Saccharomyces cerevisiae S288C: one gene and its partners. The gene in region 2 interacts genetically with the main gene of each other region. Each region holds a gene or a part of one and is shown on either strand. Other genes may lie near its edges. The genes, in order: SHE4, ARC40, SAC6 and SKT5.

Region 1 (7,421 bases), on a different chromosome or scaffold from region 2:
CTTCTTTGGAAAGTAACCCTCCTACTGGTCCCTGATTAAGATCGTATTTTCTTCCAGATATGCTACTAATATAACTTTCGGGGCCGCATACCAATGCCAACACAGGCATAATATTCTTGTTGTTAACGTTGGAAAAGGGGAGCAGACCTTTGTATGGGTAGGGCTTCGTGATTGATTTCTGGATACTTTTCAATACGTCTTGTTTAGTTTGTCGGTCTGTTTCAAAAATTTTTAACTGGACCCTGTTTGAAGCTTGAAGTCTTAAAAGGATAGGATACAAGGGTCCCAGTTGTTTAATGTTCTTATCCGTATGAAATAACTTTATAGTACCTCTAAATGGTGATTCAGTCAAAAGTAGTTGCAACGCAGTAACTATTCCGGTACCAGCGGTGAACATCATTATGTCATAAGGCTGGTAAATAAATTGGGAATTTTCTCTAACGTTATTGCCCCTTTCATTGCGATTATCCATGTATAAACAATCGCGAGATCTTTTTAGCTCATTAGGCAAATGAGGAAACTCATAATCGATAAACGGGCCTCTTATTTCAATTATATGTCCCTTGGGAAGATGGTGTAACCATCTTGCAACTTCTCCATTCTCATACTTCTTAATATAGAAAGATAATTTTCCATCTGCATTGTCACCATCTTTTAAGATTTCAATCTCTTTTGAAGCTGGGTTAAATTTAAGCGGTAGAGGCGTATAATTGCGGACCACCATGACTTCCGGTTGTTTGATCTCGACGGACCACAGATTTTCCGCAGTCATCAATGACCATATGTTAACTTTCTGCTTAAACAACGGAGTTACTTCCAATAAAAAATGTGATGAATCAATATCTCGCTTGTGTGAAATCTTGTACTTGACAAAATAAGATGGAGATAACTCATGTTTGTTTTCCCTCTCACTTGTGTACCTGTAGGTTAAATAACTGCTTACTGCTCCAACTGTCAGTAGGCAGCCTGTGATAAAAAAGTTCTTAGAGAAGCTGCTCTTTCTAGGTGACTTATGAAGCCTACGTGTTATTCGGGAACTGGATAGAACATAATTTTTCCACAGCATGCTACTTTTTCTTTTTTTCGTTTCCTCTTTTCTATTTTTGAAGGGTTCTTTCAACACGTTGCACTCTTCGAAGTTGTATTTTTCACTTGGGTTAAGTGAATTTTCACTCTTCATTAGGGTATGATGATATTAACAACATTTCAGAAGGGCAAGGAAAGGCGAAAAACTGAATTATGGAATATACTCTCTCTTTGCGGCTGGTTAAGATGCGACGGCGTAGAAATATTATGAGAGAGCCCATGCATTGTACAGTGAAAGTGCAAAACAAGTTCATTAACACGAATCTGTTTTAAGTGTATATATTATGTATATGATATTTGACGACGTGTGTTGGTTTGGTTTACAATTTCATAATGAGAAAAATAAAAAGAAGCATTACGAGAAGCACAATCAACAAATACACCCTCCATCTGCTCGTACGTTTTTGGTACCGCATGGCCTTCCTTAGCTCGTCTGAAGCCAATTGAGTGTTATCTGACGTTGTATAAATATTTGCTTCAATATTGTCAACTAGCACACCCTGCTGTTGAACAACACTTCCCAAATCTTTAAAAACTTCGTTCAGTTCCGTTATACCTCTTTCAATATTGCTGATTTCCTGGTCTCTTTGCTCGATAAGATTTTGCTGATAAGCAAACTCTTCGTTATTTATCGGGTCTCTCTCAATGACTATTTGGCTGCCTGGTATTCGAGTACTTTTTGAGCTATTCTGCCTTTGTTCTTCATCTAATAAAGCAGCATCATTTGCCATCTCACTTGCTTCAAGAGATTCTTTTGCTCTTTCATTAACTTGTTTCATTACTTGGGTAAACTGCCGCTGAATACCTTGAAACTCTTGAAAAGAGTAACTGACATCCCTCACAAGTTTCTCTCTCGCTATTATTTGAGTCTTATCCAGGCTAGCTTCCTCAATCGCATCCATCTTTTTCACTGATGTATTGACCTTTTTAATGAGCCCGCCTATTTCTTCTATCTTTGCCACAGATCTCTTATTAATTCTTTCCACAACTTTCGCACTAACATCTCCCCGATCTATAAATGACTTAAGTGTCGCGGTAAACTGCTGCAGCGTGCTTATTTGCCCATTTATTTCAAATAACTCTGCAGCAACCTCTTCTTTCAACGTTTGGAACTCAGGTGAATCACTGAATCTGGAACCGTTCCAAACGGCTTCATTATCACCACCAAAAAATTCGTCTTCCGACATCTCAACACAATTATTGTAGTAATTTACGTTATATTCTTCTATAAAAGCATTCTCTTTGGAGTGATAGCAGGCCTGTTTTATAGGGGATTATACTCTGGCGCAGTAGTTCATCGTCGATCATGATGATTATCAGCCGCGATAAGGCACGAAGGCTTAAATCCAATTACGAATCTTCTACTTAATAGTGAAGACGTTTTATCTAAACTACTCACATGAAAAGATTACTAAAAAATTAGAATCACGATGCCACTGTGTGAGAAAGGGAATGATCCAATCGATAGCTCTACTATTGATAGCCTCTGCGCTGCATTTGACAAGACTTTGAAATCCACCCCTGATGTCCAAAAATACAATGATGCTATAAATACAATTTTCCAGCTAAGGCAAAAATCTGAATCTGGGAAAATGCCGGCTGATTTAACGAATAGTGAAGCCCTTAAAGATCGTCAGAAAATCGAAGAAATATTGACCAGGTCTTACCAAGACCATTCTGAGTCCCGCGTACATTTATCTAAACTTATACAGAATGATATTCCCTTCGCACTCAATTTATTTGAAATATTATCAAGATCATCCATCCACGTTTTCGTTGGTTGCTTTTCCAATAAAGACGCAACAATTGCATTGTTAAATGAGCTGCAAATTAGGATACACTATGGCGAGGACACCCACGTCACGTATTTACTGAGCATAATTCTACAACTATTGAATAAGTTCAAGTACAATTTCAAGGAGGTGCGATTTTTAGTGAAGGAACTTATTTTGCGCATAAGCGAAGATGAAGTAAAATCGATGATGCTTATAATTTTTGCTGAATTACAATCAAGCTTCCAAAAAGACTTTGATAAAGCAGTGGTCGATTTCATGAGTAGCTTAATTGTGGAGGCAGAAATAGACGTTGGAAATGATCCATTGTCCATCATAGTCAAAACCCTATCAGAATTATATCCTTCATTGACAACACTTTGTTCTGAAATATTTTTGACCAAAGGACTAAGTAAGCTTTTTAAGAAGAGAGTATTCGAAGAGCAGGATTTACAGTTTACAAAAGAACTGCTGCGGTTATTATCTTCCGCGTGTATTGATGAGACCATGAGAACGTATATTACAGAAAATTACCTTCAACTATTGGAAAGATCACTAAACGTGGAAGATGTACAAATATATTCTGCATTGGTGTTAGTTAAGACATGGTCTTTCACAAAATTAACGTGTATAAACTTGAAGCAACTGTCCGAAATCTTTATAAACGCTATTTCAAGACGTATCATGCCAAAAATTGAAAATGTCAATGAAAGTGCGGTTAAGCTCGAGGAGGTTCCTAAAGTTGAAATGTCCGTTGAAGCGCTGGCATATTTAAGTCTAAAGGCCTCGGTTAAGATTATGATTAGGAGTAACGAGAGCTTTACTGAAATTCTATTAACTATGATTAAAAGCCAGAAAATGACGCACTGTTTATATGGTCTCTTAGTTATCATGGCAAATTTGTCCACTTTACCAGAGGAATCCAATGGTAGTTCACAGTCTATCAATGACTTAAAAAATTACGCAGATTTGAAGGGCCCAGGCGCAGACAAGGTAGGCGCAGAGAAAGAATCAAAGGAAGATATTCTTTTGTTTAACGAAAAGTACATATTAAGGACCGAGCTGATTTCCTTTTTGAAGAGGGAAATGCACAATTTGAGCCCCAATTGTAAACAACAAGTGGTTAGGGTTATATATAACATAACCCGCTCGAAAAACTTCATTCCTCAATGCATTTCACAAGGTGGTACAACTATCATCTTAGAATATTTGGCCAATAAGCAGGACATAGGGGAGCCAATACGGATTCTAGGGTGTCGGGCATTAACAAGAATGCTAATATTCACTAATCCGGGTTTGATATTTAAAAAATACTCTGCATTAAACGCTATCCCCTTCTTGTTCGAATTGTTGCCAAGGTCTACGCCAGTGGATGACAATCCGTTACATAACGACGAACAAATAAAGCTGACAGACAATTACGAGGCACTATTAGCTCTGACGAACTTGGCATCATCGGAGACCTCTGATGGTGAAGAAGTTTGCAAGCATATCGTATCTACAAAAGTATATTGGTCCACGATTGAGAATCTGATGCTAGACGAAAACGTTCCTTTGCAAAGATCAACATTAGAGCTCATAAGTAATATGATGAGTCATCCATTAACGATTGCTGCTAAGTTCTTTAACTTGGAAAATCCTCAGAGTTTGAGAAATTTTAATATATTGGTGAAACTTCTTCAGTTATCCGACGTTGAGTCTCAACGAGCAGTGGCTGCTATCTTTGCTAACATTGCCACCACGATTCCATTGATAGCTAAGGAACTGTTAACCAAGAAAGAACTAATCGAAAATGCTATTCAGGTATTTGCGGATCAAATTGATGACATTGAGTTAAGACAAAGGTTACTTATGCTTTTTTTTGGATTATTCGAAGTGATACCGGATAATGGCACTAACGAGGTGTATCCGTTGCTGCAAGAAAATCAAAAATTAAAGGATGCTTTAAATATGTCTTTAAAGAGAGGCGATTCAGGACCAGAGTTTTCAGCGGCAATTCCCGTTATCCTTGCTAAAATTAAAGTCTAATATGGAAAGAATCGCCATGTTTAACTCTTCTTAATTTTCACTAAGAAATACAACAGCACCCTGATAATGAACACACAAGAACTATGTAAGATTTTCGTAGCCAGAGAATATCCTCTGGTAGTGGTGCCCTTTATATATTTTGTTCTATTTTTACACCAGAAGTATCACACTACTCTAAATTATGTCTGGTACCCTACGTGTTCTAAAAGAATCTGGGTGAGAGAAAAAGGAAGAAAGTGCTCCTTTTTTTTTTTTTCAAAGGTGCCTCGGTCCGATGGCTTCGCAAACAATAGATGCCAAAGGAAATGATCTTCTCTTTTTCGCTTCTTTATTTTTTTTTAAGTTACGACTTCGTGCAGCCTGGGATGTACCAAGCTTGTTGTTAAACGAGCCTGACTTCTTAATCGCTTAATCTTAGTTGAATTTAGTAGTTCCAGTTTGTATGGCTGCTATTTTTGAGTATTTGGAATCATCTTTCGTTCAGCGATCTTTTTATCATTCACTTTGTCGTTTACAATTAGAAAGCGTCAAAACTTTGCATTTTTCATTTAATAATAACTGAACTCCACCAACTTTTTACTAGCAAGTTGTAAAGTTCATCGGTCAGATAAACATCTTAATTACCTGTGAAATACTCTACTGTTTCTTATGACCAGTATGTCAATTATTGATGATGAGAACGTGAAAAAAACTTCTAATGGGGCAGCTGTTGTCACTGATGTGGCTCAACACGCTGTAAGTGATTCGGACAATAACAAAGCGCAACTTCTAGGCGATGGATCCAACACTGAATATGTGGTTGATATTTTCATTGAAGCCGCTAAGGATGGGGATTTAAAAGTGGTGAAGGACGTGGTCGAAAGTGGAGCAGTGGATATTAATAACGACCGCATTGATGAATTATCCGGCTTACACTGGGCCTGTATAAACAATAGGTTTTCTGTAGCAAAGTTCCTATTACTTAGGGGAGCAAATCCTAACCAGGCGGCAGGCCCCGGAGGGGCTACTGCTTTGCACTGGGCCGCAAGGTACGGTAATATCTACATTGTTGACCTGCTTCTCAAACATGGCGCTGATCCGACGCTCAAAGATGAGCAGGGTCTTAACATCATGCATTTTAGCGTTTACAGTTCTAACATTTTACTTGTTGTTTATGTTCTTTATTTTGTCGTAAACAACAATGACAACGTCGATATCGATTCAAAAGATAACAATAACAGAACACCCCTACTTTGGGCTGCTTATCAAGGAGATTTTCTCACTGTAGAACTTTTATTGAAATTTGGCTCCACAGTTGCATGGACGGACAACAGAGGGTTCAATGCTCTCCATTGTGCTCTAGTTGGAGGTGATCAAAGGGTCATATGTGACTTAATACTTAGCGGTGCAAATTTCTACGAAAGGAATAACCAGAAGCAAGACTGTTTTGATCTAGCCGAAGGAATGGGAACCAAATCACTTTTTGAACAAGCGTTGCAACATCATGGATATGACAGGCTTGGAAATCAGAAAGACAAACTGTTCAAGAAAAGCTCGCATGCACAATTCACAATTTTTTTGTCACCATTTTTACTCATGGTTTACATATACTTAATTTCTCTCGTTCTTTCTCCAGTGCTAGCCATTATGCTTTCCCTACTGGTCACTGTTGTCATGGTCAACACATTAAAGAAGTTTGTATTACCATGCCTTCCCAGAAAAAACACTTACAAAGTTTCTTTGACTAGAACTCCCTTTTTCAGTGGCCTCTTTCTGTCCACTTTCTGTTTTTTAATATATATATGGACGAAGAAACTCTATCCATATAGTGTATCTGACTATACCATGAAAAACGTCCAGTTTTTGGTTACTTCCTTTCTCACAGTTGTACTATTTCTGAGATTAGTACGGTCAGATCCTGGTTGTCTGAAAACGGATGATAGTTTGACTTCGATACAAGAAACAATAAAACAACTGATTGACTTAGGGAAGTTTGATAGGGAAAACTTTTGTGTTGAGACATTAGAAAGGAAGCCTTTGAGGAGTAAATATTCTTTCTTTAGCGGCGCCCTGGTGGCCAGATATGACCATTATTGTCCATGGATTTATAATGATGTTGGCTTAAAAAATCACAAACTTTTTGTCTTCTTTGCTGTGACGGTCCAATATCACATGTTTTTGTTCATGTGGTTATGTCTGGCATATTTTAAGAAAACGAACTATATTTACGAACAAGTTGAAGAATATGCAAGATGTGCCCTGCTCAAGAATGAGACTTTGTGTAAGGGTTCTAATTACGATCCCTCTACCTTTTTTTTATTCATTTGGATTAGCGTAAACTTCATCTGGCTGGGGGCTATGTTGATTGTCCAGTTCTTCCAGATATTAAAAGGAATCACGACTCCTGAATTGTTCATCTTAATCAAGGAGGAGCACAAGGCAAAATTTATCAATCTGATACCCTTCGAAAACTCTATATATACCAGTGAAAGTAAAGGTGTTGAAGATAGTGATATGATTCCTGAAGGTCCAAGTGCGACCACCATTACTCACACA
Region 2 (7,455 bases):
GAAGAGCTTACAGTAGCCAGTCAAAGTCGCTGTGAAACATACACGGCGTTGTAGTCACAGTATGGAACACAATCTTTCACCTTTACAGCAAGAAGTATTGGACAAATACAAACAGCTTTCTTTAGATCTAAAAGCTCTGGATGAAACTATAAAAGAACTAAACTATTCGCAACACAGGCAACAGCATTCACAGCAAGAAACTGTATCGCCAGATGAGATACTACAGGAGATGAGGGACATAGAGGTCAAAATTGGTTTAGTTGGGACACTGCTAAAAGGTAGCGTGTACTCGCTTATCTTGCAAAGAAAGCAAGAACAGGAGTCTTTGGGTAGCAATTCTAAATAATGGTTTGGTGCAAGAAATTGATTCTGATGCTTTATTTTTTACGGTACACTACATTGTGCTGTGAGTTGTAATAATATAGTCTGTATATGCCAAGTGAAGAAAAAAACAATACAAACTCAAGGTGTATTATGAGGTAGGGAATACACATAACAATATATATATATACGTATGTATATTTAAATTGTATAAATGACGATCTTACCGTCTAACCCACAGGAAGAGACTTGTGTGATTTGGCCGTTGGATTCCGCAAAAGGTCTTAATTCCACAATGGCGTTTTCATGTGCACTTTCTTGGACATCTGTGCTAACTTTACCTTTCAAGTCTAATTCTTTAAACTTTCTCAATGCGGAAATACCGAAAGTTGAACTTTCATCATTATTACCACTCAGCTCGTCTGTATTACCAGATGCAGTTAAGGCAGAAGACTTGTTATTGTCTGATTTGTCTAGATTCTTCGCAAATTTCCAGCCTTCAGAGGCTTCGCTGAACAATACCGGATGACAAGAGTATCCTCCACAAACAATCTCGTGGTCGTTTATCCATACTAAGGACCTGTAAGGTAAACCTTCCGGAGCATTGACAGATTGCACTGGAGATTGGTAATCGACAACATTCAAAGTACCATCATGCGCTACATAAGCAATTCTTTCCATCTGACTTCTCCATTCCACATCATGGATATAAGAACCCTGATACCACTCCCTGATTAAACAACCAAAAGGGAATTTCTGGCCCCAGGGTGATCCGGCGACGGATTCCTTGGAATCCAAACCCTTGATAAACCCGCTGAACACACGCATAAACCCATCAGTACCACCAGCAGCTAATAGGACTCCATTTGCATGCCAAGACAGGCAATTGATGGTAGATTTGATGGGTTTCTTGATGTGCTTGGATACCCACCAATTATTCTCGTGTTCGTAATAACAAACAGCGATGATTCTAGCACTGGACCCAACAGCAAACTTATAACCATTTGGTGCCCATGTAACTGAAGTAGCTGCTCTGTTAATACGAAGAAGTACTAACGTGGGCTTGTATGTCCCATCACTCAATGGCTCCCAAACGTAAGCATTACGGTCTTGGGAGCAAGTCACAATACGACCATGTATGGAAATGTCCACAGCAGTAATGGTTTTATCATGATCTTTCAACGTTGCGAATAAAACGGGAGGTGTGTTGTTTGAAACTCTATAGACAAGACAATCTGTTTCGCATGTAACGGCTAAAATAGATTTATCTTGAGAAAAGCAATGAGAGTAGATTGGCGCTTTGACCAGCTTGTAGACGGCAACAACGGACTTGTCTTTAGAATTGGAAAATGACATTAGGAGACTCTCAACTAATATACGTTTACTTCGGCTTATTTTTCCTATTTTTCTTTGTTTCTAATCTGGAAGCTTTCTCGATCAAGATTGCTCTTATTTGACCCTTTTTCATTATAGGCAAGGCGCGGGCGGGTGACAAGAAGATTTTGATAATTGTGCAACTGATAACGTAGGATTCATTATCAACATTGTTGTTAAAGAGTAACAAGGAAATCTAAGAAATGGTTGTGCTTGTTGTCGAAGAAGTGATAGAGACAGTGTTTTTGCCAGCCAATTCTCTTTAAGAATAGGCCTTTCTTGTAGGATTAATGGTTAGTAGGTTTTATCAGATTCCAGGTACGCATCGGCCATCGTCGGCAATATCTTCTTCAAATGAATCTTCTTCACTGTTGTCTGCAAGGAGAATAAGTCAAACATATTTCAATTATCAGGCGACCCCTGAATGCCAAAAAGTTTCCTCTAAGTATGATCCTGATAACCCAAACAAAGATAAGTTGGGAACATACGATGGGGTATTTGTGCCTACTGCTTTAAACGTATTGTCTATCCTTATGTTTCTTCGTTTTGGCTTCATTTTGGGTCAGTTAGGTATTATATGCACCATCGGTCTTCTGCTATTGAGTTACACTATTAATCTTCTCACCACGTTAAGTATATCTGCTATATCTACAAACGGGACTGTTAGGGGCGGGGGTGCTTATTATATGATTTCAAGAAGTTTAGGACCTGAATTTGGTGGATCCATTGGGCTTGTCTTTTTCTTAGGGCAGGTGTTCAATGCAGGTATGAACGCAGTGGGTATTATCGAACCTTTACTCTATAACTTGGGTTATTCTGCTCAAGGCGAGCCACCTGCAGCTTTGGGAGAGCTACTACCAAGAGGGCATTGGCACGAATTTACATATGCCACGGTCATTCTTTTCTTATGTTTTTCTGTGGCTTTTGTTGGCTCGCAAACAGTGTCAAGAGCAGGGAATATTCTTTTTTTGGTACTGGCAGCTTCTATATTTTCCATTCCACTTTCTGCATTGATAAGATCGCCATTCACTGAAGGCGGTATCAGTTATACAGGTCCTTCATGGCAAACTTTTCATGATAACCTGCTCCCTCACTTAACAAAAGGTGCAGCAGGTTCGTTACTCAAAGGTAAGGAAACATTCAATGATTTATTTGGCGTTTTTTTTCCTGCTACAGCTGGTATATTCGCGGGCGCAGGAATGTCAAGTGAATTGAGAAAGCCCTCTAAATCAATTCCTAAGGGTACCTTATGGGGTTTACTTTTCACTTTTATCTGTTATGCCGTTGTTGTCTTCTCCATGGGTTGTTCCATTCCCAGAAGATCGTTATATGATGAAGTACAAATTATACAGACGATCAGTTCCGTTCAGTGGGTTATATTCATGGGTGAAATGGCTACTTCTCTTTTCTCCATCATAGTGGGGATGCTCGGTGCTGCTTATGTATTAGAAGCAATTGCAAAGGATAACATTATTCCTGGTTTGGAGATTTTTGCTCATTCACCGTTATATTCATTGATTTTTACTTGGATTCTAACACAGCTATGTTTGTTTTCAGACGTCAATAAAATCGCCACATTTATCACAATGACATTCTTAATGACGTTTGTGGTCATGAATTTGGCGTGCTTCCTATTAGGTATTTCCTCTGCTCCCAATTTCAGGCCCTCTTTCAAATACTTTAACAGGTATACTACAGCAATTGGCGCATTACTTTCTGTTGTTGCGATGTTAATAGTTGATGGCATCTCAGCGTCTGTCTTGTTTTTGGCTATGATTTTGCTATTTTTATTCATTCATTATTTTTCACCACCGAAGTCTTGGGGTGATGTGTCTCAAAGTTTAATATATCATCAAGTGAGAAAGTATTTGCTTCGCCTACGTCAAGACAATATTAAATACTGGAGGCCTCAAATATTGCTGTTTGTAGATAATCCAAGGACGAGCTGGAACTTAATAAGGTTTTGCAATCATTTGAAAAAAGGTGGTTTGTATATTTTAGGCCATGTTGCAGTAACTGCGGATTTTCCGAAGCAACTAAATGAATTAAAAACTCAGCAGAAAGCTTGGATGAAGATCAGAGACATGGCAGCAATAAAGGCTTTTGTCCAAGTTGGGACTGGTCCCTCCCTTATATGGGGAATTAGGAATGTTTTTATTGGTTCCGGGCTTGGAGGTATGAAACCAAACATTACTGTTGTCGGTTTTTTTGACCTCGAAAGTTATAGAAAGCACATCCCACAAAGTCGCAGCCAAAATAACCTTCAGAAACAGGTGGAAATAAAAGCTACAGTGCCACGTAGTACATGCTCTGATGTCAAAATCAATGTTCCATTGCCTACGGATGAGTGTAAAAATGAAACCAAAGTTAATGTACAACAATGGGTTCAAATTGTAGAAGATCTATCACTGATGCAATCCAATATTGCCATAGCGCATGGATTCAAAAATTTAGAGATACCGAACAAAAGGGACAGCTGCTTTCCAAAAAAAACTATAGATCTTTATCCCATCCAAATGTGCGGAAAAGTTGAGGCAAAGGGTGACCAGCCTGCGGCTATCACTACTAACTTTGATACGTATACACTGATTCTACAATTAGCTGCCATTTTGGTTACTGTTCCTGAATGGAAGCGCACACATTCGCTTCGAGTTATTTTATTTGTGGAACAAGAATATCATAGAACGAACGAAACTCAACGAATGAAAAAGCTATTACAGGTTCTAAGAATTGACGCAGAGGTTTTGGTAGTATCTTTAGATCAATTCAGAGTATACAACACAATTGTCAAGGGAGACCCAATCGTGTTTGATTATGTCAACTCGAAATTGGCCGATAATGAATGGTGGAAAGATTTGGTTGAAGCTCGTGATACATTAAAACCGAAGCGGAGGTTTTCCACTATTGAACCTCAAACGATAGCAAAGCAATTTACACAATCAAGAAAATATACGTCTGGGGTTCAGAAATTGGGTGTCTCATTTACAATGAATACGAGAATGCCAACTAACCGCATTGATACCCCATGCGAGAGTGAGGACTCCGATTTGGATACAGATCTTACGTCAATTCGTGATGCCTTCTCGGCATCGACTAATATTTCAGTAGGTAAGGACTTAACGACCAAATCGAAGACCGGTTCCGACAGAACAAATTTACTCGTAAAGAATTTACAAAGCGATGTGTCAACACAGTCGTTAAGACCCGTTTTCTCGAGTAATACTTTGCCGAGGACGAGAGTCGTGGAAGATGGCACGGGTGAACAGCCGACACTGATCCCAATTGCCGAACCTGACCTTTCGAATGGGAACGGTACTGGGAGCGGTATTGGCAACGGCAACAAATTAAAGAAACCGGTTCTTCCCGAATTATCACCTTGTTGTTCAAAAGATAGTTTAGTCACAGCGATGCAAAATTTAGGTTTCAATGATCTTCCCAGCACTGCTCAACATTTGGTTCTGAATGATGTGATGACACAAATGTCAAAGAGTTCGGATTTAATTTTTTCAACCTTGCCAGTTCCAGCTCTTGGAACACATGAAGATCACGATGCAAGTTTACAATATGTCGAGGACTTGGATATTTGGTTGGAGGGCTTACCTCCATGCATGTTAATCAATTCGCAAACCATGACAGTAACTACTGCATTATAGAATAACACATATATCGTTATGCATTTCCCCAGAACTTATTTACTACATATAGAAGTCTTGTAATACGGCCGAAATACAGATGCTTTATAGTAGGGTTATTGTTTCTATTCATTTTTATTTCAGTTGGGCTTTACGCTTTCCGGTTCGATATACTGTTTTACCTTACGGAATGCAAACATGGTATAGAAATATGATGCCGCTTCCTTTTCATCCCCTTCAACACCATATCTACCATCAGATCTTTGTAAACCTTCCCTCATTTTAGGCGAAAACCTCTCAATCCATTTGGGAATTTCTTGGACAAAAAATTTATTAAAAGGCATTTGCGATACTAGTTCCAAACCGTATTCATCAGCCAAACTTCTTAAGGTTTCGAATGGCACAACATATTCAGGAACATTATCTATAGCATCTTCTAGCCAATAAGTATACATTTGACCATAAGGCGATGTGAACTCATAATCATTCTTTTGGTATGAATTATTCTCAAATGTCACTTTATAAATGGAGTTTCCCCAAGATGGCTTTTCCACTTCTTTGGGAAATTTATTCAGTTTATAACGAATGAATTCTGAATCTGGTATCGTGCCAAAAAAGTGACCACCAATTTTGAGTGATTTGGCGACATTCAGTAAAGCTCTCCTTGCTTTTTCTTCGGTCTCAAAAGCATAATGCAAGCAAAATTGCGTCGAAACGATATCACACGGAAATCTACAGTCTGGGAAGGGCTCTACTGCAACACCTAATGATTCGCCAAAGCAATCCCCAGTAATTAGCACAACTTGGTAGTCCAAATTTCTCATGGACCGGTATCTCTTATGAGCTTCTTGGATAGAGGCATTGGAAATGTCAATACCAATAAACTGTGAAATACCTGCAGCACCATATTTTCTTAAATCACCACCTTTGCCACATCCGAGTTCTAAAACGACATCTCCAGGTTTTGTATATTTGTCAATTAACATATACTTAATCGCATTGTTAAAATTACGAAGCTTAATAATAGGCGATAGATTCCTCTTAGCGCGATTGGCGATTATTGTACGTTCATTATAGTGCTCTCGGACAATCTGGTCAACATTTATGGATCTATTTGCAGTCATCTCTATTTCATGTCTCTTTAGTTGCTCTTCTCTCAATTTTTGAGCACGCTGTTTGCGTAATCTTTCCTCTTGATCATACCTTTCATGTCTTCTCTTTTGGATTTTAAACCCGGATTCTGCCTCAATGGGTAGATCAGACACCTTAGAAGTAAGGATAGAGCTGCTTTGCAAAACTGGTAATGATCCATTACCATCACCAGGCGCATTGGCAGTAACTTTGGAGTCTTTTTTTGAGACTGTGGACGATTCATCACCAGTAATTGAGCCGTACTGACGGTCATAGTCTTCTTGTGACATCCATATTGGCTTCTCTGGTTTGGTTGACATTCTACTTTTCTAAGACGGATAATGGACGACTCCACGTTGTAGTAGTTGTCACATTAATCGGAAAAGTGTCTCACATGTAAAGGATTAAAATAAGAAATCTTCTAATTTATGTTGAAATATCTTGATTTACCATTACCCGGATTAGATGAAACTAATTAAAGTCATTTAGAGCAATGGACCAAACTAAAGGTATTAGAGTTCTTTCTAATATAATACAGCGCCAAATAATTCGAGAAGGGAAATCATAACGCTGTTGCCTTGGGTTTATTTGAGGTATGGAAACTATTGATTCGAAGCAAAATATTAATAGGGAGTCTTTATTGGAGGAAAGGAGGAAAAAACTAGCAAAATGGAAACAAAAAAAAGCACAATTTGATGCTCAGAAAGAGCATCAAACTTCACGCAATGACATTGTTACTAACAGTTTAGAAGGTAAGCAGACTACTGAAAAGTTTACGGAAAGACAGGAACGTGTAAAAGAAGAGCTTCGGAAGAGAAAAAATGAATTTAGGAAATCTGACGAACCTGTATCGGTTAAGCCTTCGAAGAAAAAGTCGAAGAGAAGTAAGGTAAAGAAGAAAATATCCTTCGACTTCAGTGATGACGATGATTCTGAAATAGGAGTTTCTTTTAGATCGAAGGAGCACATTCAAAAAGCTCCAGAGCATGATAATGAA
Region 3 (8,657 bases), on a different chromosome or scaffold from region 2:
ATTGCTCATACAATAAGGAACCTGAAAATAGGGAAAATGTTCAAAAGAATGAGTTTAGGCGTTTACGAGAAAACTTTGTGACAACTTCTGGATTGAAGAAAAACAAGACAAACCACATAACATGGCTCTCAGGAATTAGAATGAATAGCGCAACTTCACAAGAGGATTTATTCAATGAGACAAAAATCCAAAATTTAGGAGAGGAAGTAAGCGCCATTGGTCACAAGTTCCCAAAAGTCGTTTTTGAAAAGATATCCGTGTCCACAAGGGAATTGTGCCTGACGCTTAATGGCCCCTGGTCAGAGGAAAATCCTGATGATTATATATTCTTACGAATAAGTATTAATTTCCCTCTCAACTATCCAAACAAAGGGGACCCCCCCAAATTCACAATTGAAGAGAATTCAAATTTAACCATGAGTAAGAGACAAGAAATACTTTCCAATTTAGCAACAATTGGTCAAAAGTATACTGACTCAAATCTTTACTGCCTGGAGCCATGTATACGATTTGTTTTAGGTGAGAAGGTTAGCCTGGAGGACATCGAAGAAGGGCAAGAACCCTTATTAAATTTTGATATTGCAGATCACATAGATTTTGAAGAATTATCGTCACTGGATAGTTCATATTCCGATTCTCAAAACCCGGAAAACCTTTCTTCGCAATCAGATATAGAGTCATACAAGGAAGCACTGGTATTCCCAGATACTTCGAATCAAGGTTTGGATTTTGGAAGAAATTTAGCTCTTGATACGACACCTGTTCCAAATGGGTGTGGATCTTGTTGGACTGCAACAGGTGAACTCTTCTGCTTCTTTGCAAATGAGAAAAAACCCGAGAAAAAGCAAAATGCAATAATTAAACTCTCTCAAAAAGAAGCAGGGGTAGAGAAGCATCCTTTTAAAATTGAGCCTCAAGTTTTATATGATAAGGAAGTTGACAGCAGTGTAATCACCGCTGCTGATGAATTGAAAGCTCGCCCTAAGCGGTACGTGGACACCTTGGGGCTGGGAGGCGGTACTAATGGGGATTCAAGAACATACTTTGACGACGAGACATCTTCCGACGATTCATTTGATAGTGTCGCGGACGATTGGGACGATATATTGAGAAATGATATAATAGTGAGAACAAAAATTCCAATACTAAGAGGTAATTTTAAAGCTTTCAGCTCAGTACATTCGGAATCCGGGAAAACAGTAGAATCTACCAAAAAAAATAAGAATTTAGTGATTTCCAAAAATTTCAGCAGTTTATTAAGCGACCGCAAAGAACTAGCATTAGAATACTTATTTATGGATGCCACACCGGAAGGATTTGCTAGAAATAACGCTTTGGTGGCAGAAAAGTTTGACCTTGATGAAATTAGTCATTGTTGGCAAATATTATCTGATATGTTGATAGACCAAAGTGATTACGATCCTTATACTACTATATGGAATAACCATCCCATGGGGATAAAGTGGTTCATAAAGGAAGCGATTGTCTACTTTGAGAGGCAACAAAATTTACAGATGCTGGCCATGTTATGCTGTGTCATATTAAGCGCCAGGAGAAAAAAGATTCCAGCCAGATATTATGGGCAAGAATTAGAGAATATGGAAGGAACCATTGTGTTTAATGACAACGAAAGTCAAAACACATCATTTTGGAAAGGATCTGATGCTTTTTCCACCAGGTCTAGGAGTAGCACTGTTACACCAAATTTTTATGGTAATCATTTGAGAGGAAAAAACATTCATGGAGGAGACAACTCCTCAATAAGGTCCGACGACCACCACGCTAGGTTAAGGACGCACAACACTCTTAATGGTAGTAGTAAATTTACGGAGCCGGCCCAAAAGCAGGGCAGCCGTGCCATTTCATCCAGCCCTTTTCATAGTAGAATGCCTGACATCAAAGTCGAGCTTTTACATGACGATATTATAGAAGCTTATGAACAAGAAGACCTCTTACATTTAGAGGTATCAGACATACCAAAGTTCCAAACTTATATTTATCAATATTCAAAGTTACTTTTTAGATGGGGACTGCCTTTAGAAAGGGTCAAAATTCTAAAAGTTAGTACTGATTTCAGAAGTTCTTATAGTTCCCAAGGCATCCCCCCTAACAATAACAAGAAAAGTCCTTACAATGGTGTACTTACGCACTGGATCGAGAACAACGAGTTTGGAGAAGAAAAATTCCTAGCCCGAAATTGTAATTACTGTGATTTAAGAGTGACAAGAAGTAGCTTCATATGTGGAAATTGTCAACATGTTTTACACTCTTCGTGCGCGAGGATATGGTGGGAGATTGGTGATGAGTGCCCATCTGGATGTGGGTGCAATTGTCCGGAAATGTTCGATGCCTAAAAGCTTAACTATCACGTACATTTTCTGCATATTTCAAAGAACCTTGGATGTATATGAAAAAAAGTTCACAGGATATATGGCTTAATAAGTAGTTTATTTACGATTTTTTAATCCAGTAGAGGCATGATAGAAGACGACAACGGAATCATTGAGCGTTGGAGGCATTTTTACAATGGCTCAGTAATCACGAATAAAAGTAGGTGGAAGTTGAAATCTATTATTACATATTAAAAACTTCAGAAATACTTGAGGCTATATATTGTTGTACACTTAACCAATCGTATAACGGAGCATTGGAACAAGAAAGCTGAGTAGAAAACAGGTTACGAAAGTTGTTTGTTGGCTCATTTGTTCAAAGTCATTAACGAAGCGATAAAAGTAATAATTAATCTTGCACGAACTTCGTTGATATCTTCTGGCACCAACCAAATCAAAGCACCCAACTTTCTAGCAATAGAAATAGCCAATCTTGCGTTTGCGTACCTTTCTTCCTCGGTGTTACCAGGGGTGACTAGATCATAATCAACATAGCCCGGCGCGATACCATTCAGAACATCCAATAAGAAGTGGGCGTTTGATAAAGCTTGGTCCTTAAATGATCTAATGGTAGAGTTTTTACCACCTTTAGTTACCTGGTCTTGGGCCCACTTTAATATTTGAGAATCACTCATGTCTCTACCACTTGAGGATAATGTCTTCATGGTTATCGAAATATTTCTACGCATCAATTGCCACACTAACCCTAAGGTCAGTAATTTGTTACCATCTACAATATCAGATCCTTCGATACCAACCAAAGAAAATCCTTTGGCTCTGCCCAAGTCGACTGCATAGTTGGTGTTTTCTAAGGCTTTGAATCTGGATATCTCTGCACCCGAGGCCGGTCTTTTGTTGACATGTTTAAAATCAACAGCACCGGGCATCACCTTTTCGTAAGCTTGCAATAATATCAAACCATCCTTCAAATCATCAAACAGCGAAATGACAGGTGGATCAACGTCAAGAGAGTTCAACCATAAGGTAAAGACTCTTGCCTCTCTCTCACCTTCGGCGTCAAATTCTTCAATTTCAGGCTTTTCCTCTTCCTGAATAGGCTCTAATCCAGGATGTGTATTGAATAGATGTGCCACGAAAGCCAGGTTTAATTTAGGGTTCCCCGCAACTAATGAACTTGGGGTTAAATACTTTCTACAATCTAGCTTTTCAGCATTTTGTAAAACTTGCTCAGCTCTCTCCATTAAATCTGTGGTTTGTAATGGTGCCTTAGAACACAAGGCGGGGTCCAACTGGTTCAACAAGATAGTATAGTTTTCACCATCAGACACGTCTTTTGAAAAATTGGTAACCCTTCTGTTCCAGTTTGCTTGCTTCAAATGGTAGTTAAACCAACGTAGTAGAATTTGCTCCGGAGGCAACCTCAAAAATTGCTCCAACGTTTCATCATCCTCCAATAGACGGTATAACTCAGGATGCAGCTTAATATCAATTTTACTTAACAAACCTCTCCTAATAATTTGCCAAATCAAACCCAGGATCAAATGCTCTCTACCTTCAATAATGTCCTCGGAATGAACATTAACAACGACACAACCAATGGCTTTTGCAGAATTAATAACAATATTAGCATTTTCACTAGCCTGAAAATTATTCAATTCCTTACCCTTCTTAGGCCAATTCAAAACTCTTGTATCGATAGTATCAGGAACAGAGTCGTTGATCAACTTAGATAGCACCAACCCATCCCTACATTCATCAAATAATTGGAAAGTATCAGTAGGAAATGGAAGCAAATCACCTATATCTTGGTCTCCCGCCAAGACGCTATTGATATGTTTAGTAAATTCACGTCTTTCTTCTTCATTGATGGTATGTGTAGTACCTGTTTGGGAGCCAGCAACAATAATCTTGGCTTGAGTACCCTTACCCTTGTGCTGTAGTCCTGTGGCAGCAGTGGAAACAATAGGGGTTGAGTTAGGTGCTACGTTGAAAGTGGTCTGTGGAGCAGCTCCTGTTTTAGATTCTCTTAATTTTGCAACCAACCCGACGTAATCGTCCAGTTCAACACGGCCTGACGCATCCACACCCACATGCTTCAGGGTTTCTCTTGCTTCGTCATAAGTAGCATCACCATCTTTGGACACCGCTTCTAGAGCTTGCTGTTTTTCAACCCATCCTTTATCATCTAAGTCAATGGCTCTGAACTTTTCAATTGTGGAAAAAAGATCCTCTTGAGTCAAAATTGGAAATTTTCTCTAATCGCAGAAGAGTTTGTTAGTATATGAAACGTTTATTACAACCTAAAAGGTAGAAAAAACTTTTTCACTGTGCTCAGCAGTGTGGGAATTCGAGAAAGGCATACATACTTGTAATTTGACAATATTCATTGTGTTTTGGTGTACTCCTTAGGGCTAATATATCAGCTTCTTCTCTGATAATTTTAGTGTAAAGAGCTTTCTTGTTCTCCTGAAATAACCAAAATTTATATCGATAAATCTTCATTATAAACTTCGCCCCGTACTTTTGATATTTTTCCGCCTCCCGAGGAGTGCTTTTTCACATGAAGGCCATCGGGAACAAGAAGAAAAGCCGTTCACGTAAGAAAATAGGACCCTATATCCGGTCAGGATCACTCAAGCTGTATGTAAATGTAATATAGACAAAGCACCTTTAACTGCTAAGAATTAATTATAGTGTCGGAAATATAACATAACTTGCTTACTTCCTGTGTAAAAAATGTGAGAAGGGATATGATTACTTATGTTTCGGTATTTCCGTGAGTTGAAGTTCGATATTGGATAATCTTGATTCAATCTCTCGCTGTCTTCTCAACATTTGTAGTAGCAAGTCCTTTATTTCTTTAAGTTCCACGGTTTCTTCAGTCACTATATTATCAGGTAGTTTAAATTTTACACTTTTCTGGAAACTAGCTTTGTGTATCTTACCTTCGTTCGCCAGCATGGAATTCAGTTTAGTGTTCGATTTAGTAAGGGATTCTATGCCATTTCCCACGTCTTCCTCTTCTTTCTTGAGTTCAACTAATAAATTCTTCCCTTTCAATTTAGCTCGAGGAAGGTCATTCTCAAATGGGGCGTCCTTGAGCTCAGTATTAGAACAGAGGTCAGTGTTGCTTTTGGCATCCGATGGGAGAATATGTTGCTGCTGTTGCTGCTGTATCCTTTCAGGTGACATGAGTCCATTCTTAAACCGGGCCCGTATTCTCGTTAACGAACCATCACCCCCGATTTTATTTTCATTACTGAATGTCAGTTTGGTTGGTGATGTAGGGAATATTATATTAGTTATATGATCTGAGTTTTGGATCTTCACATTTTTATTCGAATTTTTGAACTGAGGCCTATCCAGGCTTTGAGTTTCCTTAGAGACATAGCCCTTCAGACATTCCGGCGACATAATCCTTCTTGGTGTTACTTGTATACTATGCTTCATTCCATCTGTCTTGTTAGGTGATATCCTCATAGGTGGTTTCAAAAACTCTTTTTGGCTTGTCGTCCTCAAAGGGGACATACTCAATCTCACAAAGACATTGTCCTTGTCACTTGGTATATTATTTCGACCAATCGTATTCCCTATGTCACGTAAACTCCTGCGGTTGCTTTTATTGCTCATAATTTGTTTTATTGAACTATGTCACATCACTGCAATCCAGTGAGAACACTGAGAAAGCTCTAACTAGACTATACAATCCATTTGTTTTGATTTCCTCTTGTTGACAATTTGCAGTATTTAGAGTATATATCATTATGTACGTGTTATAACCGCCATGTCTCACAGTATCAACTAAATAGAGCTTCTGCGTCCACCAATTCATAAACAGAGTTGCTTTTATAGCCATTATTATAGAAGAGGGGAACCGCGCATCGTTGTAACTCGTCCACTTGTATTATTTTTGTAGGTATACCGTTGATGGTTAGATATTCTAAGTTCGGCAAACTTTGCTCAAAAACTTTAAATACGTCTTTTAGATAATGAAGGTATAAGTGGTACAAACTAATGGCATCTTCTCTAGTAATTTTATTCACTGTAATATTCTCAGTATTTTCTATGGTGCTTTGCAGATTTTCATTGAACTTTCGTACAAACGTTTCAATAGGTACAGAATCCCATCCCATCGCAGGTGATTCGTTGTCAATAATGTTTGTATAGGGCATGATCTTGTTCTCGAAAAACATTTGGTAAAAGAAATTATGGGCTTGGAACTTATTTGGGTTCTTTAAAAGTTTTGACCGGGTTTCAGGAAAGATTTTTTTTAGAATGACCTCGTGAATTGTATTTTTGCAAGTTGAACAAGGGCAGAAACCATCGAAATTCAAGCGAGTTAGTGGGTTATCTGTCATGGGAAAAAAAAGCCTGTGATTTAGTTGGCAGTGTATGTCAAAACGCTGTAATTTTTTGCCACACACTTGTTTAGATAAGAAGTTAATCAACGACACATCGAAGTCAAATTTACCCATGTAATCAAGTTTCAGTATCTTTAAATTGTGAAACACAGCCAAACAATTCATTAGAAAAAATTCGCTGTAAACCAATGACGCTAATGATAGTTTCTCAATGTTCGGAAATTTCCAAAATCCTTCTAGCCCCCATTTGACATATAACCTGTCAAAACCACCTTCTTCGCCAGAGGGAAAATCGTCGCGACTGTACCAAGACAAAATCTCTAGCTGCCTTAAGGTGGAAGCATCAAATATGTCGATGTATTCTAGCTCTTTTAAGAAGTCATCGGAAGCGTCGTACTCCGCAAGGTTAAGTGTGTCGGGTCGCAAATTTAATACCAATGCTTTGATCTTCATAGGAGACCCGGTATTTTTGAAGTACTTCAATGCGTTTATATGAATGGAAAGTTTTTCTAATCGAGATAGATCGCACTTCAAGAGCAACCGATCAATTTTATTCAAATAAGAACCGCTTACACTGTTATGGGTGGGCATTAACGTTGGTGGCGTTAATGTTAGAGTTTTTAATTGCTTTGATAAAGGTTCTAGCCCCTTGTTAACTGATGAGCGAACAAATTGATCGACAAATTTCAAATTGGATCCATACTCGGATAGCAATTTAAGTACATTTGTCATCACATCTTCATTTAAATGCCATGTACAACGTATTCGATTAATTAAGGGACATAATCTTTTCGGTGACTCTGCTAATGTTCTTTCGAAATAACTAAATTTCACTTTAGCTAGTCTTCTATTCGACATGTCGTTTTTAGTATTGGAATCATCTTCATCTATGTAGTGAAAGTTTAGGACAGACCAATAACAGGTTCCAAATGAGTTATCATAGTCACCATTGATGTGATAGGTTTCATTAAGAAATAAATTCTGGTAGATGAAAGGTATAATTGATTCATAGGATCTTTTGCATACATATGTTAACGAAATTTTATCTTCCTGCGGAATTCTCCAGGCAATTTGTTTAAAAATCTCATAAGGTAACTTATCAAACATTTTTCGGGCCCTTTCAAATTGGCAGTAGGGTTATTTTTATCTATTTTAAGACACCAAAGTTTCTTCTTTTTGCACACATTATCCTACTATTTTCTCTACGTTACTTTATCTCTGGTTTTAAGAGGTGTCTGTATCCTAATTCCCGAAGTCGATTTTTTTCTTACATATTAACTGATAAATAACAAGAGAAAAGAGACAAGAGCCTACAAAAAGTAAGAAAAGAAGCTACTACAGGAATGTGAGTTACAATGGGTTTCCGTTATACTTCAAGTACTATAATGGCATATAAAAAATACAACGGAGAGCATACATATACTTAAAAGCTTGGCAGAAGAGTAATTTTATCAAGCTAATCCTACAGATATTCATATCCCTTGTAGTATTCCTTAGTTCCGTTAAATGCTATAGCTTTAATAGCTATCAGCATAATATTGCCATCTTTCACGGCCAGTTTCCAGAGAGACTTTCTTAAGTAAAGCTTTAAACCAGAACAAAATCTAAGGTCAAGTGGATCAGACACGTCAATGACCCTGTCATTGAATTTATTTTTATCAGTTAGCAAAGTTTGAACTTGAGAAATCTTAATGCCGTTTATGTCCAAATCACAGAGATATATGCATGCTGGAAGTAAATAATGAGTTTCAATTTTCGTCTGCGTACTATCGGATGGGAACCGATACTGGTAATTTTTCAACTTAGGCGCACCAGAGGGTGTATTTGGCAAATGACTTCCAAATAAGGCCTCAAACTTATAGGCGGATTCTCCAGTTATGTCTACATGGATACTTTGGCTTTCCTTATTGAGGATTATCGTACAATCAGTCGAATTTATTTGAAA
Region 4 (8,422 bases), 580 kb from region 2:
CTAAGCTGTCCACTACTTGCTGGCTTCTTTTATCCAGAGGCATGTTTGTCACTACAAATTCGTTGTTGGCACGCCTTTCCAGACGTTGCTTTAGTTCCTGAAATGATGAAACATCCCAGCTCCAACATGTCCCTGTGATGCCCATACCAAATATACCTAGTGTCATGCCCGTTGCCGCTAAAAGAGAACCTGCAAGACTCTTTTGTGTGTGTGTTATTGTCTGCGTCCGGCTGGCGTAGTTTGCTTGAAAAGTGTTCAATGGCACTATGTAAATAAGTTATGTTAGTAAACGTGTTCTTTGAGTATGAGGCCGAAGTTATTGCCTATGCATACCTTTTGCAGTTATCATTTTCTTCATGGCAATTCTACATGTTATAAGTGTAAAAATAGTGATTCCGAAGAATCGTGTCATCTGAGTTTTCCTCCTCTTTTTATAGTCGTCTATAAAATGTGTGACTTCCTCACTACTGATTTTGGGCTTGTCGTTTCTGCTCACTAACATTATTGTTGGCCAGTCCTTTATTTCGAATTTTCTTCTTGTGTTTACATTATGTTTCAATTCGCATATTACATTAATAGAGAAAGACCTATTAAAAAATCGCTGCGCGTCCAATAACATTCACTGATTTACAAGTGCAGTTGAACAAAAGCAAGATAAGACAAGTACTACAACATGCATCCACAGTTAGAAGCTGAACGTTTTCATTGTAAGTATCCAGATTTTACTTCATATATTTGCCTTTTTCTGTGCTCCGACTTACTAACATTGTATTCTCCCCTTCTTCATTTTAGCCTGTTTGGACTTCATCAATGCACTCGATAAATGCCATCAAAAGGAATATTACAAGAGAATATTTGGCCTTTGTAACAACGAAAAGGATGCTTTGAACAAGTGTCTCAAGGAGGCAAGTTTGAATAACAAGAAACGTGCTGTCATTGAAAGTAGAATAAAGAGAGCTGATGTAGAAAAGAGATGGAAGAAAATTGAGGAAGAAGAATATGGCGAGGACGCTATATTAAAGACTATCTTAGATAGACAGTACGCCAAGAAAAAGCAGGAAAGTGACAATGATGCGAACTCGAAATAAAAGCTTTTTTTCTGTCGCTACTTCATTCACACAAATCATCTCAATATCCCTTGTAAATAAAAGGCAGAGTACAGTTTTCAAGTTTATATTTCTTCAGCGCAGTCTTTATATTTATATCTTTAAATATACTTAGAACTGAACAGAACCCATGGCTTTTTGCAAAGCTTTCAAGTAGCTCAGTCGTTTCTTATATTGATTATTCATATACAAATATCTCGAATTCCAATTATTCATGACTGCTTCAAAATAGTTATCGTCAAAGCTCCAAATTTCGACCAGCTTATCCTTTATTTCGTTATGTTTATCTATCCATATACCAAGCTGTCTGGTGAAGTTCATCAATTCCTTTAGCCTTTCTTTTAGTTCGACCATCTCTACATCTTTCGCATCTTCGTATAGTAGCTCTAGCCCCAATAGTGGCTTCCATTCACTTACAACAATATTTTTAAGATTGAGGGAAGCGTGCTCTGTCAAGATCTTGTCACTCCATCCATATTCTGCGTTAGATACGGCTTCGAATTGTGTTAAAGGAACTGGAGAAATCCTACCTGCCCAGAAGTTGATACAGTCCATAAACTTGTGGGCTTCTTCAACACTTCTCGTCTGGAACTCCAGAACAAGCTTTGGTCCGTTGATATTCTCTGGAAAACTAACGGTAAAGTTGCCACTTTTCCTCTTGGTGTTTTTGTTACACACATTTGATTTCATTGCTCCACTACCTATAATTATATTATCTTGCACGACATGTGCTTCAGCTTCAAGCAGTGAGTAAGCAAAATAAGAGCTACTGATATCTTTGAAATAGTCGATGGTAGCACTGTCTGTTTCACTTGATTGGATGATATCCTTAACATCTGGTTTAATTTTGAAAATAAAAATTCTGCCCTCCTTGACCTGTATTTTCACCCTCTCCCATTCAGAATCCTTATTCAAATACGATAAAGAAGTCCTTCTAGATGTGTGCTCAATAAGTGTAGTCGTTTTAGATGGTTTTAGCCATCCGAAGAACGATTTGTTTCTCTTAGAGGTCATTTTTGGTGCCGCCACTTGATCTTTGTCTCTTTTAGAATATTTACGTGGTAAAGATTTCTTGCTTATAAGAATTAAATCGTCCATGAACCAACTGGAGCCGTTTTCGGTAATTAAACCGTCATCAAAAGACTCTTTAAGGTAGAGTGCATCCATGGGGTGATTATTGTGAAAGTTTTTATTTGATTTTGCGCTCATTTCTCGTACAGATACTTGACCATCTCTTGAATATAGTGTAGTAGAATTAGAGTTAACACTACGTAAATTTGATGTACTAAATTCCCGTGATCCTAGAGTAGAGAACCTTTTCAAGGAAGATTGGTTATCTGATATATTTATTGATGTTCTAGATTCTGTGCATAACGGTAAAGGCGTTTCATTTAACGTTTTATAGTATTCGGAAAGTTCTTCGATGATCAAATGTTCGCGGGAGTATATTTTCAATTCTTCGTATTCATTTTCCTCTCTTAGTGCCCTCAGTGTATTGTTGATAAATGCAACCATGGAAAACTTAATCTTTTTATGGTCAACTTGAAAGTTGTTGTGCAAATCCGAATTAAGGATCAACAGGGAAAATAAGACTATATGACATGACTTATAGCCTGACTTCCAATGTGTGTTCGGGTGGCAAGCTATCCATTCTATGCTCAAGCACTCTAGTATCCGGTCGATATTTTGCGCTTCTGCAATGAAATATATACTTTTCGATAAATTGAAAAGCGTTTCTAATAGTGACGACGGCAAAGGACTCAATAACTTTACAAACTCAGTCAAGACTTGATTATTGTTATCGTTTCCCAAGAAATTTGCATATTCCTTGTAAGATACATCTTTGAAAGTGCCTTCCAAGATCTCTGAGGCAATAAGATGACTATTCTGATCAGTTTCCTCGGATTGAGTGGAGCTAATATCTTCAGTACCAGTCCCCGCAGTGGCGGTATCCGTAGTAGGTATCACAGGTTTTTCGTCATTAGCAGCTTCCTTGTTTTGTAAAATATCACACATGTTGACCATCGTGGGAGACTGTAGCATATTTTTCATGCTAGTGGGCATCGACTTACTACCATGAAGGACGCCCTCACTTTCACTGAAATTGTCATTGTAGCCCTTTTGTGAGACCCCATAGGTGTCATTCTTTTTTACCTCGTTTAAACTGGCGCACATACCTCTTTGCGATCCCTTAATAGTCCATTGACTGCACAAAATTGTACCATCTAGTCAGCCTTACTGATCTCAAAGTTGATCCGTAAGATCAATGAACCGTCTCTATCATCTATAGATATTTTGCACCCAAACATCGCATTTTAAGTTCATTTGATTTAATATAATACATTTGAACATGCCATCGCACTTAGCTGCCATGTATAGGCCATAACTAATCGCTAATTATTTGTTGCAACTATCTGCAAATCTATACGACATATGTACATATGACTTTCACGAGTCTTCATGCATGTTTTAAGAAAGGTCATCGTTATATTTTCCCACGTTTCACTTCGCGTTTTGACTTGCTAAAAAAAGAACGAAAAATTCTTTCTGCAGACCCTCTCGAGGATGATGTAAGATTTAAGAGTAGAGACAAACTAGGTGTTGGCACTTGACTTTAGACTTGCTGTTAATAAGCCTTCCATTGTATACTACCAGGTTCTCGTCTTTTTTGGTGATAAAGTTAAAATAAAAGGATAAAAAATGGCAAGTTCACCGCAGGTACATCCATATAAGAAGCATTTAATGCAATCACAGCATATAAATTTTGATAACAGGGGCCTACAGTTTCAAAACAGTTCGTTGAAGGTAGGTCAAGATTTTTCAGATAATAAAGAGAATAGGGAAAACAGGGACAATGAAGACTTCAGTACCGCAGACCTTCCTAAGCGGTCGGCAAACCAACCGCTTATCAATGAGCATCTTAGAGCTGCGTCAGTACCTCTACTATCAAACGATATAGGCAATAGTCAAGAGGAAGATTTCGTTCCAGTCCCACCCCCACAGCTTCATCTTAATAATTCAAATAATACTTCCTTAAGTTCTTTGGGAAGTACTCCTACAAATTCTCCGTCACCGGGAGCATTAAGACAGACAAATTCGAGTACATCTCTTACGAAGGAGCAAATAAAGAAAAGAACTCGTTCTGTAGATTTGTCTCACATGTACCTGTTGAATGGTAGCAGTGATACCCAATTAACGGCTACTAATGAATCTGTAGCAGATTTGTCACATCAGATGATCAGTCGATATTTGGGTGGTAAAAATAATACTTCCTTAGTTCCAAGGCTAAAAACAATAGAAATGTATAGACAAAACGTTAAAAAATCTAAAGATCCTGAAGTGTTATTCCAGTATGCGCAATATATGTTACAAACCGCACTGACTATTGAATCTTCCAATGCTCTTGTTCAAGATAGTGACAAGGAAGGAAATGTCAGCCAATCTGACTTAAAACTTCAGTTTTTGAAAGAAGCGCAAAGTTATTTGAAGAAACTGAGCATAAAGGGTTATTCAGATGCCCAATACTTATTAGCGGACGGCTACTCATCCGGAGCATTTGGGAAGATTGAAAATAAAGAAGCATTTGTCTTATTTCAAGCAGCTGCAAAGCATGGTCATATAGAAAGTGCTTACAGAGCATCGCATTGCTTAGAAGAAGGACTAGGAACAACAAGAGATTCTCGTAAGTCAGTCAATTTTTTAAAGTTTGCGGCTAGCAGGAATCATCCCTCAGCAATGTATAAATTGGGACTTTATTCATTCTACGGCAGAATGGGTCTTCCAACCGACGTTAATACTAAATTAAATGGGGTAAAATGGTTATCAAGGGCTGCAGCAAGAGCTAATGAGTTGACGGCCGCAGCACCATACGAATTGGCTAAGATTTATCATGAAGGGTTCTTAGATGTTGTCATTCCGGATGAAAAGTATGCAATGGAACTATATATTCAAGCAGCAAGTTTAGGGCATGTTCCTTCAGCAACTTTGTTGGCACAGATTTATGAAACAGGTAATGATACAGTAGGGCAGGATACATCACTTTCTGTACACTATTATACGCAGGCAGCGTTAAAAGGCGATTCTGTGGCAATGTTAGGTTTATGTGCATGGTACTTACTGGGAGCAGAACCTGCTTTTGAAAAAGATGAAAATGAGGCTTTTCAATGGGCCTTGCGTGCAGCTAATGCTGGTTTGCCAAAGGCCCAATTCACTCTGGGCTACTTCTATGAGCATGGCAAGGGCTGTGATCGTAACATGGAATACGCATGGAAATGGTACGAGAAAGCTGCAGGGAACGAGGACAAGAGGGCGATTAATAAGCTACGCTCAAGGGACGGTGGACTAGCCAGCATTGGTAAAAAACAGCATAAAAAAAATAAAAGTATCAGTACTTTGAATTTATTCTCTACTGTGGACAGTCAAACAAGTAACGTAGGGTCAAATTCAAGAGTTTCTTCAAAATCTGAAACATTCTTTACTGGAAATCCAAAACGTGATCGTGAGCCACAAGGTTTGCAAATTAACATGAATTCAAACACGAATAGAAATGGTATTAAAACGGGTTCTGATACAAGCATCAGGAAAAGTTCTTCCTCAGCAAAGGGAATGTCAAGGGAAGTTGCTGAGCAGTCGATGGCAGCAAAGCAAGAAGTTAGTTTATCAAATATGGGCAGTTCAAACATGATTCGTAAAGATTTTCCTGCAGTAAAAACTGAGTCAAAAAAACCTACAAGCTTGAAGAACAAGAAGGATAAACAAGGTAAAAAAAAAAAAGACTGTGTAATTATGTAAGTACACATACTAGATTGTTTTCATTCTTTATAGGTGCAACAGTTTACACTCAATGCATATAGTGATACAAATATTTTACAATGGCTATATCCCCTTATTGATGAAGTTTTTTATTTTGCAGTATGTCATTATTTTCAGTTTCTTCTCCCTTCAATATTGGCTCGGTGGTAAATCTTCTCTTCAAATTGTTCTGCGATTCTCGTCCAGTACCCTCTGTATTTGGTAAGGTCTTTGATCTATTGGACTTGGCCGAGTTTATGCTTTTCGGTATAAGAACTTTTGGTAGAGGTTGATCAGGCACTGGCACTGGGGTTTTTGGACTGAATTGTGAAAGAGGAAAATTTTCATTAGTTGACAAGTTTGGTATACAAGTACGAGAATTAGATGTGTCGTCTTTGCTCTTATTTTCAGCATCCCTATAAATCTGAAATTGTTTTGGATAATCCAATAAGGGTAAAGCCTTGATTACTGACGCTTCAGGTCTTGTATGCTCATGAAGGGGTTTTTCTATGCTGTGAGCAGTGAAAATGTCCATACCCAGTATTTTCAGTGATTGTAGCTTCTCGCAATGTTCAGAAAGCACCTCATCTTGTGTTTTTGAGATTTGCATAATATTCTCATCGTAATCAGTTAATATAAAATTGCACAAAGAATTAAAATTTTCATTTATTGCAATCAAATTGATATTGTTTTCATTAGATATGGTTTCAATTTGTGATTGTATTTCATCTATTAATGACATGATCTTCTCATTTGTTAGGGCAATGTCTGAACAAATTATATTTTGAAATTTTTTAATAGAGGTCAATACTGGATTTGATGCGATTGTGTTATCATCGCCACAGGTTTCACAAATGGTTTGTGATATCTTGTTTAAAAATTCATTGATGGGCAAACTTCTCAGTTTGGAGGATATGTCCATGTTCATTCCGCGTGATAGACTGATTAAATCGTTAGTAAAGCTTTCATTGTTCTGAGAAACCGTTTTCAAAGTGTTTTCAGCATTATGAGCGAGGGATGCTATTGAGTCGGAATGAATTTTATTAACTACGATATCTGTTTCGTTGAAAATAGAGGCCGTCTTCTGCCAGATATCTTGATCCAACTTAGATTGTTTATCTTTTAGGTTATCGATACATTTGTTAAGTTCGTCGTGGAATTCACTACGCGTCCTGGAAACGTGATCCTGAAAATATCGCTTCATTTCAGCCAACTGTTGGTTGAATTGGTTAGAAATCCTGCGCTCATTGATCAGATCGTTTTTCAGTTTTTTTATTTCTAAATCTTGCTCTTTAATTAATTTCGATGATCCTGACTGCTGGTTTTCTATTAAAACATTCATACTATTCAAGTTAGTGGTGCAATTTTGCGATATTTCGTTTATGGAAGTTAGAATTGAACTGCCTATCGAATCAAGACAGCTTTTAATATCGTTTTGTAAATTTTTTAGAAATTGTTGATGTGATTGGTAGATTTCATTCAAATCTTTACGATAGTGAGAAGTAGAATCACTCTGAAATATTTCCAATGAAGTCGAAATACTACGCACCAGTTCGTTCATCTGATTCATCAATAAGTTAGTAGTAATGTTTAATAACGATTTGAGAGTAGAATCGTGTTTCGCCTTATGGGTATTTACGTTCCTGGTTAGTTCTTCGGTGACGCCTTTGATAACTTCGGAACATTTAGAGTTATAATTATTTAAAGAGCCCTGTAAAGTGTTCAAAGTCTGTAAAACTTGTTGAGAGATTTTTAATTGCATGTTCTGGTTCGTATTATACTGTTTTTGAGAATTTTCTAGTGAAAAATCTCTCTGTTGTATGACTTCATTCATTAGTTCGAGATTAGTATGGTGAATTTTTTGGATTTCCGAGTAAAAGTTAGAAAAATCGACATTAAAATTCTGTATTATGGCAATTAGTTTTTCCTTTTCAGACTGTAAAAGATTATTGATATCTAATTGGTTCAGGTAGTTTTCTTTGAATTTTTTAATTTGTTCTCGCAGGTTATGTATTTTTAGATTTTGCTCATCAATCAAGATAGAATTGCTCTCGTAAAGGTCCAACTGATCTTGAGTTATAAATATACCTTGTTTGTTTCTTGAATTTTTCAAATCATTTCTTAATTTTTCAATCTCTTGAATGTAGTCTTTGAGACATGTATCCTTCGATAAAGACTGATTTACTTGTGGAGTATTCTTAATTGATTTGGCTCTCGTTGCATATTCTAGCGTACTTGCAGTCTCTTCCATGGATATTTTCGCAGGTGATATAGTTGCGATAATGCATGTTTTCGTCATACCACCTAAAGAGTCTTGTAGCAATCTTGTTAGCTTAGATTCTCTGTAAGGTATATGGTTAGAATGATCAACGAGTGCGTTGATAACACGGCCTAGTGTTAGCAGCGATTTGTTTATTAGGCCAGCTTCTTGAGCCCTTTTATTCTCCGCACCCGATCTGTTGATGTTTTCACTGCCTGCCAAATCCACCAAATTCAATTTGCCAATTTTAACAAAATTTTTGTTT

Evidence for each region.
Region 1: mutations in ARC40 (region 2) and SHE4 are lethal when combined (synthetic lethality), as found in Saccharomyces cerevisiae (3 studies listed by BioGRID, with this or other methods).
Region 3: mutations in ARC40 (region 2) and SAC6 are lethal when combined (synthetic lethality), as found in Saccharomyces cerevisiae (2 studies listed by BioGRID).
Region 4: mutations in ARC40 (region 2) and SKT5 impair growth when combined (synthetic growth defect), as found in Saccharomyces cerevisiae (3 studies listed by BioGRID, with this or other methods).

What each region holds. Positions count from the first base shown.
Region 1 is NC_001147.6:395,200-402,620, reverse strand, and holds SHE4 (She4p), read left to right. Parts: upstream 1-2,516; coding exon 2,517-4,886; downstream 4,887-7,421. Other genes in the region: CYC2 (oxidoreductase), read right to left, coding at 1-1,066; SNAP receptor PEP12, read right to left, coding at 1,407-2,273; YOR034C-A (uncharacterized protein), read left to right, coding at 4,953-5,195; putative palmitoyltransferase AKR2, read left to right, coding at 5,535-7,421. UniProt on the Saccharomyces cerevisiae protein: Required for mother cell-specific ho expression. Might be required for the transport of factors (such as ASH1) that promote HO repression from the mother cell into its bud.
Region 2 is NC_001134.8:684,916-692,370, forward strand, and holds ARC40 (Arc40p), read right to left. Parts: upstream 1,678-7,455; coding exon 523-1,677; downstream 1-522. Other genes in the region: DAD3 (Dad3p), read left to right, coding at 62-346; VHC1 (Vhc1p), read left to right, coding at 1,986-5,348; ABD1 (mRNA (guanine-N7)-methyltransferase), read right to left, coding at 5,468-6,778; DEAD-box RNA helicase PRP5, read left to right, coding at 7,054-7,455. UniProt on the Saccharomyces cerevisiae protein: Functions as a component of the Arp2/3 complex which is involved in regulation of actin polymerization and together with an activating nucleation-promoting factor (NPF) mediates the formation of branched actin networks.
Region 3 is NC_001136.10:710,642-719,298, forward strand, and holds SAC6 (fimbrin), read right to left. Parts: upstream 4,739-8,657; coding exon 4,718-4,738; intron 4,607-4,717; coding exon 2,699-4,606; downstream 1-2,698. Other genes in the region: MTC5 (Mtc5p), read left to right, coding at 1-2,354; FIN1 (Fin1p), read right to left, coding at 5,106-5,981; YDR131C (uncharacterized protein), read right to left, coding at 6,149-7,819; MRX16 (Mrx16p), read right to left, coding at 8,175-8,657. UniProt on the Saccharomyces cerevisiae protein: Binds to actin, and functionally associates with actin structures involved in the development and maintenance of cell polarity.
Region 4 is NC_001134.8:102,791-111,212, reverse strand, and holds SKT5 (Skt5p), read left to right. Parts: upstream 1-3,806; coding exon 3,807-5,897; downstream 5,898-8,422. Other genes in the region: IAI11 (Iai11p), read right to left, coding at 1-264, 334-619; CMC2 (Cmc2p), read left to right, coding at 674-707, 793-1,088; Arf family guanine nucleotide exchange factor YEL1, read right to left, coding at 1,218-3,281; KIP1 (Kip1p), read right to left, coding at 5,992-8,422. UniProt on the Saccharomyces cerevisiae protein: Activator of the chitin synthase CHS3 which polymerizes chitin, a structural polymer of the fungal cell wall.